2 linked regions of the Sus scrofa genome follow. The protein of the gene in region 1 interacts with the protein of each later gene in a biochemical or structural test. Links are inferred from orthologs where the notes say so. Each region holds a gene or a part of one and is shown in the gene's direction. Other genes may lie near its edges. The genes, in order: TFAP2A and CITED2.

Region 1 (3,810 bases):
CCCCTCTCCCCACTCCGGGCTCCTCTCGCGCGCCCACACTTTCTTTCTCGCACACGCACGCAGACACATTTCTGCCTCTCTGCGCGCTCGCCCTCGGTCTCCCTCGCTCCCTCTTTCTCTTTCACTTTTGCCTGCCCTGCAACCTTTTAAAATGTTGCCCCTTCCCTGTGATTCGCCAGCCGCCGCGCCGCGGCCCCCCGCGCGCTCGCCCGCTCCCTCTCTCGCCCGCTTTTTGTCTCTCGCGCTCCCTCTCCCCACCTCCGATTTGCTACACTGAGGCTCCCGTCAATGGACTGCATTGAGAGCCGGCTCCGGCGCGAGTTGCCTCTCCGCTTCACGCTCGATTTCCAGGCATTCTTCCCTTATTAAGTATTCGTGTAATATTAATAGTCATGAATATCTGCTATTAGGAGGCTCCAGGAACGCTGCCCGGCGCGGTTATTAGAAGCTCAAGCGAAGCCGCCGCTAAGAAAAGAGGGGGAGACACGGATTAAGGAACACGCACACACACGCACACACACACACACACACACACGCACAGACACAGACACACACACACTTTTTGCTTTTTCCCTTTTTGGGGTTTTTCATTTTTTAAGGAACTTTGAATCCTACCCGATCACGGCAGGATAGAGACCGTGGGTTCGACCAGCTGAAGGCGCCGCTCCAATCGGTGGTTCAAGTTCGGATGGACCAGAGCGGGGCTCCAGCGCTCGGGGGAGCGGCGGCGCCGTGACCGGAGTCCTGGGTGGCGCGGGGCTCTCGGCGCCTTTTGTGTGGGGCGCGCTCGGGCGGCGGGGCAGCCGGGCTCTCCGGGCTTGCTTGTCGTTTTCCACCCTGACTCGTTACCCCAGACTCTTCGCAGATGTTAGTTCACAGTTTTTCAGCTATGGTGAGTCCCATCCCCACCCCCATCCCTGTTTCCTTAGGAATTCGACTCGAAACCTGGGGCTGCCGAGCGGCCCGAGACTTCGGGTTCCTCGCCCGGCTGTCCTTCGGGGCACCCCCTTTTCCGTTTGCATTCCCCTCTCTCCTCCTTTCTCTTCCTCTTTCCCCTTCTTGAAGCGAATGCGGTCCCCCCCACCCCACCCCCCGACCCCCGCTCGACCTCTCCCGGCGCGCAGACCTACCTCGCCGCTGCTTCCCGAGGCGTGTGTCTCTCGCCACGTTCATCCTGATTTCCTCGCCTCTTCACTTGTTCCCGAGCCGTTCTCAACATCTGATGCTTAATTCGGCTGCAGGAAAACGCTGCCCGGCGTGCCCCTTCCCCTCGGGGCCCGGGGCTGAACCTCCGAGGTTTCCCGTTCCCTGGAACCCACTCCGTTCGCTTGTTTTGCAAGCGAATTGCAATAGAGGAACACAAGTCAGGCGTTTCTTCTGCCCTTTGGGGCTGGGGTGGAAGGGGCGGGGGCCTCCGCCCCGGGGTGCACCTCTCTCTTTTAAACCCAATATAAGGCTGAATCTTTTCATTTGAAACCTGGTCTTGGCTTCCCCCTCTCCCCGTCCCTATCATAAATCGACCCTGTGCAGGAAAAAAAAAAAAAAAAAAAAGGCGCCTGAGGATTCGGAAAAGACAGCCCCCTATTCCGCGGTTAAAACCTTCTTTAGGCTGGTAATTTCAACGAGGGCTTCCCTTACAGCCCCTCTACGAAATATGTTTCTATTTAAATAATCATGAAATGGTAATGGTCTTTGAACGGGTTTGACTTTTTCCTCGAAATAAATGGAACAGGGTAAACAATAACGCAGTGGCAGGCAGGTTCAAATCCAGGGACAGAGAAGAGGCCGCTTCTGCAGTTTAATAGTTAGGAATTTTAATTTTGCTTAAGGGAGGTTTCACTCTGCAGCCTAACGAGCTGTGTTCCGGGAGGCCCCTTTCTGCTGTTTTTTCCCCCCTTGGAAAGAAACGCCTAAGGAGAGTCTCTAAAGCGCCCACCTTGGCACCATCTAATTCCCTGCGTTTGGGGAAGGGCCCGTTTCACTTCTGGAGAATTTTCTGCAAAGAACCACTCAGGGCTCCTTTCGTGCCGGCGGCCTGCGGACAGGAATGGGCGGTTTCCCACGCAGTCTGGCGGAGTGGATTTTGTGTGGCAGCTGTAACTCGACGCCTGATGTCTCCTTCTCTCCCCTTCTTGTCGCTCTCTTCCAGGACCGTCACGACGGCACCAGCAACGGGACGGCACGGTTGCCCCAGCTGGGCACTGTAGGTCAATCTCCCTACACGAGCGCCCCGCCGCTGTCCCACACCCCCAATGCCGACTTCCAGCCCCCCTACTTTCCCCCGCCCTACCAGCCTATCTACCCCCAGTCGCAAGATCCTTACTCCCACGTCAACGACCCCTACAGCCTGAACCCCCTGCACGCCCAGCCGCAGCCGCAGCACCCGGGCTGGCCCGGCCAGAGGCAGAGCCAGGAGTCTGGGCTCCTGCACACGCACCGGGGGCTACCCCACCAGCTGTCGGGCCTGGATCCTCGCAGGGACTACCGGCGGCACGAGGACCTCCTGCACGGCCCCCACGGGCTTGGCTCAGGACTCGGAGACCTCCCGATCCACTCCTTACCTCACGCCATCGAGGACGTCCCGGTAAGAGGCCGCGCGGGCAGGGCGGCGGCGGAGGAGGCGCAGCCCCTGCTCGCCCCCCTCCCCCAAGCTCCCCACCACGTCCAGCCGGAGGGGGCCTGGGCTTCCCCCTCCGTGGTGTTGGCTTTCTCAAAAAGCCTCGTTTTATTTTGGGGGGAGGGGGGTGGACCCTTGCAGGACCCTCCTAGACAACCGCATTAAACATTTGCACAAGTAGTTGAGAGAGAGAGAGTTCTGCCCCTAGAACAATGGTTCCTGGACCTCCTGCAAACAATGCCTGCGTTACCATTTATATAAATCAGACGGGTTTCTATAAATCACCGTATCTTGTCACCGGTGATACCTTCCCCTCTCCACGACGGTAAACCGTTTCAGTTGGGAGAGGATCCGAGTCCACCGCTGAGGCTGTCGTGGGGATTTCTGAAAAACGTGTTAGAGTCCACCAAAAGAACTCATTTAAATGCCCTAGCAATTTAAGGGAAAGTGTGAAGGATAGACGAAGAAAATGATTTTTTTACTGGATTTTGTGAACACCAGTGATATCTGAAAGTTATGTGTCCACCCTACCCTGATTAAAGAACACTAAGCAGCAAATCCGGGCAGGACATTAAATGCAGCCTTTTTCTCTTCCTAGGGGTGCTAAGTGCTGACCTCATAAATCATTAGCTAGGTTCCCAACGCCTATCAGAACCTGCTACACCCCATATTAAATTAAATGTTTTGAGACGATTGGGCAGTGCATTCTTTGAGTTCTAATTCAGTTATCAATAAATGCAGCTTTGAATGCTTTCTAAATCAGCGTGGTATTAGCGCATTTACTATTTACAATGCAAGCCAGGCTATTGATAATTTGAAAATACTTTCTGAAATTAAATTTAAACCAGCATCTCTGCTTCAATCCTACATATTTATGGTCGCCTCACAACCTTCCTGAAATGGAATTAGAACAAGTCAATAATTTTATTAAAGCTGTAAAGGCTCTGTTAATGCTGCTTTTCTTTGGAGAGGAAATGTATCTGGATGTGATTTTTGCTAAAATGCTATTTCAAATTACTGCATCAAATATTGCAGCAATATGTCCGTTGACAGTTTAATGATTCCTGCATTAGATTGCAAAGAAAATGGTCAGATGAACTTACCTGCTTGCTTGGTGAATTTAAAACATTATTTAAGTTACATAGGCAAATAGGATATTTATTACGTCTCTCATTTGGCCTAGTTAATCGCTG
Region 2 (4,365 bases), on another chromosome or scaffold:
AAGGGAGGGGAAAAAAGGGTGGTAGTGGGGGGGGGACTTGCTCTTCACAGCAGGAAGTCTTCAATGGCTATCGAGTTATGAAGAAACAACTCTGAACAGAAGTCCTTATTCGGAGCGCTAAACTCGCTTTTACCACATAAAGAGCAATATAAAAGCTCGGAGCAGCCTCATCGTGGTGTTGGGGAAACAACTCGGCTTCCCCATTTGAGAAAGCAAGAGAGCTCTGACTGGGTAGTGGCCCAGACCGGTGTTAGGGCTTTTATTTGCAAGTCAATGAGCCAAATGGACGACCAGGCTAGTTGTGCCGCGTTCTGGGAAGCAAGGTTATTATTATCACCTATTGCCCCACTGAGAAATTTCACTGGAAAGGAATAGTCCCAGCAGTGTGTATGCTCGCGGTGCCATACGGGACGTGCAGCTACGTGCCCACCTCCAGAACGACTTTATTTACAAAGCGATTACCATGTTATCTATCTGTTTTCCTTTTCCAGCAACAGCAGCCTTACTCAGCCCTCGAATTTCTTAATTACAAACCCGTTCACTTCTAAAGCAACCCCAAACCGTCTGGCAGAACCCAGAGGGAGGCTGTGCAAGTTTGCACACACCCCCATCTCCCGGATCAAGGGCAACAGCAGAAGCAAGAAACTGTATGTGCAAAAAGGTGGATCTAGGGACGAGGATCGCTGAGTTTGTTTACAGAGGAGAGACGCCTCAGCTCGGATGCCAAAGCTACCAAGAGCTGCAAACGCAAACTTAGCAGAAGCACACGTACCCGGGAGCGGCGAGTGGGCCCCAAAACGCGGACAGGATTCCCGGCCGCTGGAGCGGAGGCAGCCGAGCGCTAGCGCGCTCAGTCCACCTGCAGCTGCAGCGGGCTGCCGGTCCCCGCCCCCAGCCTCTGTCCTTGAGGCGGGGGAGCGGGGGGGGGGGGGGGGGGGAGATTCACCTACACGCAGAATATCTAGATCAGGTCACCTAATGCCCAAATAGAAACACAAAGGCAAAACCCAGGAAAGCGTGCACAGGGGAGGGGACATTCTTTGCCTAGGGCTTAAAAACGCACTGGGGTAAACACAACCATTCTTTGCAGCCTGGGTAAGCTTTGGTAAGCTCAGGGAGGCAAAAAGGCACTATGGACGGCGTGGGCGCTGCATTGAATCCCCTTTTCCAGTAAAAAGCAGCTCAGATCGGTAGGTGAGCTGGGGGTTGGGGAATCCGGCCAGAGGGGGGCGATGAGTTTTCCTCGCTTCTTTCCGGACAGGCGCTACCTCTAGGCTGAGAGTCAAGGGAAGATTTTTTTCTCTGTGCCGGGGGCCGCCGTGCTGGCTCAGTGTTTGTGGAGGAAACCAGGATCCGGGGGCCGCGGGGCGGTGCCTGGGACCGCAGCCTCTGCGCACGTGCCTCCGGCCGAGGGGGAACTCGGTTGCCAGACCCAGTCCGGGGTGCTCAAAGTGCCGGAATCCGCATTTTCCCTCCGCCCCCCCGGGAGGCTCTCGCTCCGCCCTTTCTGAAATCCCTTATATTGACTGTGGCCAAAGCCCTAAGAAACACAGCTCATTGTTGGCAGCTGCCGGGCGGTCTAGCGATCTAGCGAGCTGTGAGGCAGCAGAGGGGAAATAAAAGGGAACGGCTCCGGTCCTGCCCCAGCAGCCGCTGCAAGACCTCGGCGCAGACTTCGAGACAGCGAGCGCCTTGCACACCGGAAAGGCCACCTCTATGTGCTGCTGAGCCGGTCCTGGACCCAACGATCCCGCCCTCGGTCTTCAGAGCAGAAATCGCAAGGACGGAAGGTAAGCGCGGCGAGAGAAGCTGGCTGGGGCTTCTGCCAACCCAGTCCGACGAGGGCTGGGTTTGCCCGGAGGAAGAGCGTGAGGCGGAGCTGGGGAATAACAACAGGATGTGCAACAACAGGATGAGGAGGGCTGATTTAATGCCTGAAGTTCGCGGCAGGGCTACGGGGCACTTCCTTTATTAGGCGACATCGGGGAGCAAAGGGGGGTGTGGGCTTGGGTCCCCCCGCCCGATCGCAGGGGAAAGGGATGTTTGTGCAGCGCGCGGCTCTGTTGTAGATGGCAGGTCTGTCTTGGTGGTGAACCCGGGTGCACAGGCTCCTGGTGGGATCCTCGGGATGATCGCAACCGAAGTGTGTCTAGGGAGTCTTGGGAGGGGGGCAAAGGCGAGAAAAGGTGGGCTGCGCTGTGGTGGGCGACACGTGTGGCTACGGTCTTAGCGTCTGCTTTTTTCACTTTCAGGACTGGAAATGGCAGACCATATGATGGCCATGAACCACGGGCGCTTCCCCGACGGCACCAATGGGCTGCACCACCACCCTGCCCACCGCATGGGTATGGGGCAGTTCCCAAGCCCCCATCACCACCAGCAGCAGCAGCCCCAACACACCTTTAACGCCCTAATGGGCGAGCACATACACTACGGCGCGGGCAACATGAATGCCACAAGCGGCATCAGGCACGCGATGGGGCCGGGGACTGTGAACGGAGGGCACCCCCCGAGCGCGCTGGCCCCCGCGGCCAGGTTTAACAACTCCCAGTTCATGGCCCCCCCCGTGGCCAGTCAGGGAGGCTCCCTGCCGGCCAGCATGCAGCTGCAGAAGCTCAACAACCAGTATTTCAACCATCACCCCTACCCCCACAACCACTACATGCCGGATTTGCACCCTGCTGCAGGCCACCAGATGAACGGGACAAACCAGCACTTCCGAGATTGCAACCCCAAGCACAGCAGCGGCAGCAGCACCCCCGGCGGCTCCGGCGGCAGCAGCACCCCCGGCGGCTCCGCGGGCACTTCTGGCGGCGGCGCGGGCAGCAGCAATAGCGGCGGCGGCAGCGGCAGCGGCAGCAGCAGCAACATGCCCGCCTCTGTGGCCCACGTCCCTGCTGCAATGCTGCCGCCCAATGTCATAGACACTGATTTCATCGACGAGGAAGTGCTTATGTCCTTAGTGATAGAAATGGGTTTGGACCGCATCAAGGAGCTGCCTGAACTCTGGCTGGGGCAAAACGAGTTTGATTTTATGACGGACTTCGTGTGCAAACAGCAGCCCAGTAGAGTAAGCTGTTGACTCGATCAAAATCTCGGAGAAAGAAATCAAATCCCCCAACTTCTTCGGCGTGAATTAAAAAACATTCCCTTAGACACAGTATCTCACTTTTCAGATCGTGAAAGGTTTGAGAACTTGGAAACAAAGTAAACTATAAACTTGTACAAATTGGTTTTAAAAATTGCTGCCACTTTTTTTTTTTTTCTGTTTTCGTTTCGTTTTTGTAGCCTTGACACTCACCTCCCTTATGTAGTTGAAATATCTAGCTAACTTGGTCTTTTTTGTTGTTTGTTTTTACTCCTTATTTCCTCACTTTCTCCAGTGCTGAACTGTTAGATATTAATCTTGGCAAACTGCTTAATCTTGTGGATTTTGTAGATGGTTTCAAATGACTGAACTGTATTCAGATTTATGAGGGAAAGGAAAAATTGCATTAGTTGGTTGCATGAACTTTGAAGGGCAGATATTACTGCACAAACTCTGCCATCTCACTTCATTTTTTTAACTATGCATTTGAGTACAGACGAATTTTTTAAAATATGCTAAACTGGAAGATTAAACAGATGTGGGCCAAACCGTTCTGAATCAGGAAAAGTCATACTGTTCACTTTCAAGGTGGCTGTCCCCCTCCCCCATATGTACAGACAATAATAGGGTGTGGAATGTCGTCAGTGGCAAACATTTCACAAATTTTTATTTTGTTTCTGTCTTCAACATTTTTGACACTGTGCTAATAGTTATATTCAGTACATGAAAAGATACTACTGTGTTGAAAGCTTTTTAGGAAATTTTGACAGTATTTTTGTACAAAACATTTTTTTGAAAAAATACTTGTTAATTTATTCTATTTTAATTTGCCAATGTCAATAAAAAGTTAAGAAATACTTGTTTTCTAGAAGTCATTTGGGGGTGGTTATTCCCTTTGGTGGCTTTCTTTTTTTCTCTTTAAGTTGAACACTTTATTGATGAGAGTAAGCATTCCAAAGGATAAATTACAGGACACTAAAACAGGTCATGATGAGCTTAAAGCGGAGAGCAGGATTTAACATAATTGGCATAATGCTTCATTGTTATCACTGTAACATGCCTCTTGGTGTGGTTTAATCAAAAGCTGCAAAGTTGTTAGAGCTTTTTTTCTTCCCCTGAATTGTCATCATAAGTGTACTCCAGAGTTAGGCAGGTTTGTAATACTAAATGTTATAAATATTTTTTCACAGAGAGGGAGGGGGGAAAGACAAGTATTTCTGGTTATACCTGATTCAACTACTTAACTGGAGGTAGACTGGAATAAAATACTGGGAGAG

The links.
Region 2: the proteins of TFAP2A (region 1) and CITED2 form a complex in vitro, tested with the Homo sapiens proteins (2 studies listed by BioGRID, with this or other methods). The link is inferred for Sus scrofa from reciprocal best matches to the Homo sapiens genes TFAP2A and CITED2.

Annotation. Positions count from the first base shown.
Region 1 is NC_010449.5:7,233,546-7,237,355, reverse strand, and holds part of TFAP2A (transcription factor AP-2-alpha), read left to right. Parts: intron 1-766; exon of another isoform or gene 767-865; coding exon of another isoform or gene 866-892; intron 893-2,149; coding exon 2,150-2,584; intron 2,585-3,810.
Region 2 is NC_010443.5:25,154,119-25,158,483, forward strand, and holds the start of CITED2 (cbp/p300-interacting transactivator 2), read left to right. Parts: upstream 1-1,533; 5' UTR 1,534-1,790; intron 1,791-2,252; 5' UTR 2,253-2,260; coding exon 2,261-3,082; 3' UTR 3,083-4,365. UniProt on the Homo sapiens protein: Transcriptional coactivator of the p300/CBP-mediated transcription complex. Acts as a bridge, linking TFAP2 transcription factors and the p300/CBP transcriptional coactivator complex in order to stimulate TFAP2-mediated transcriptional activation.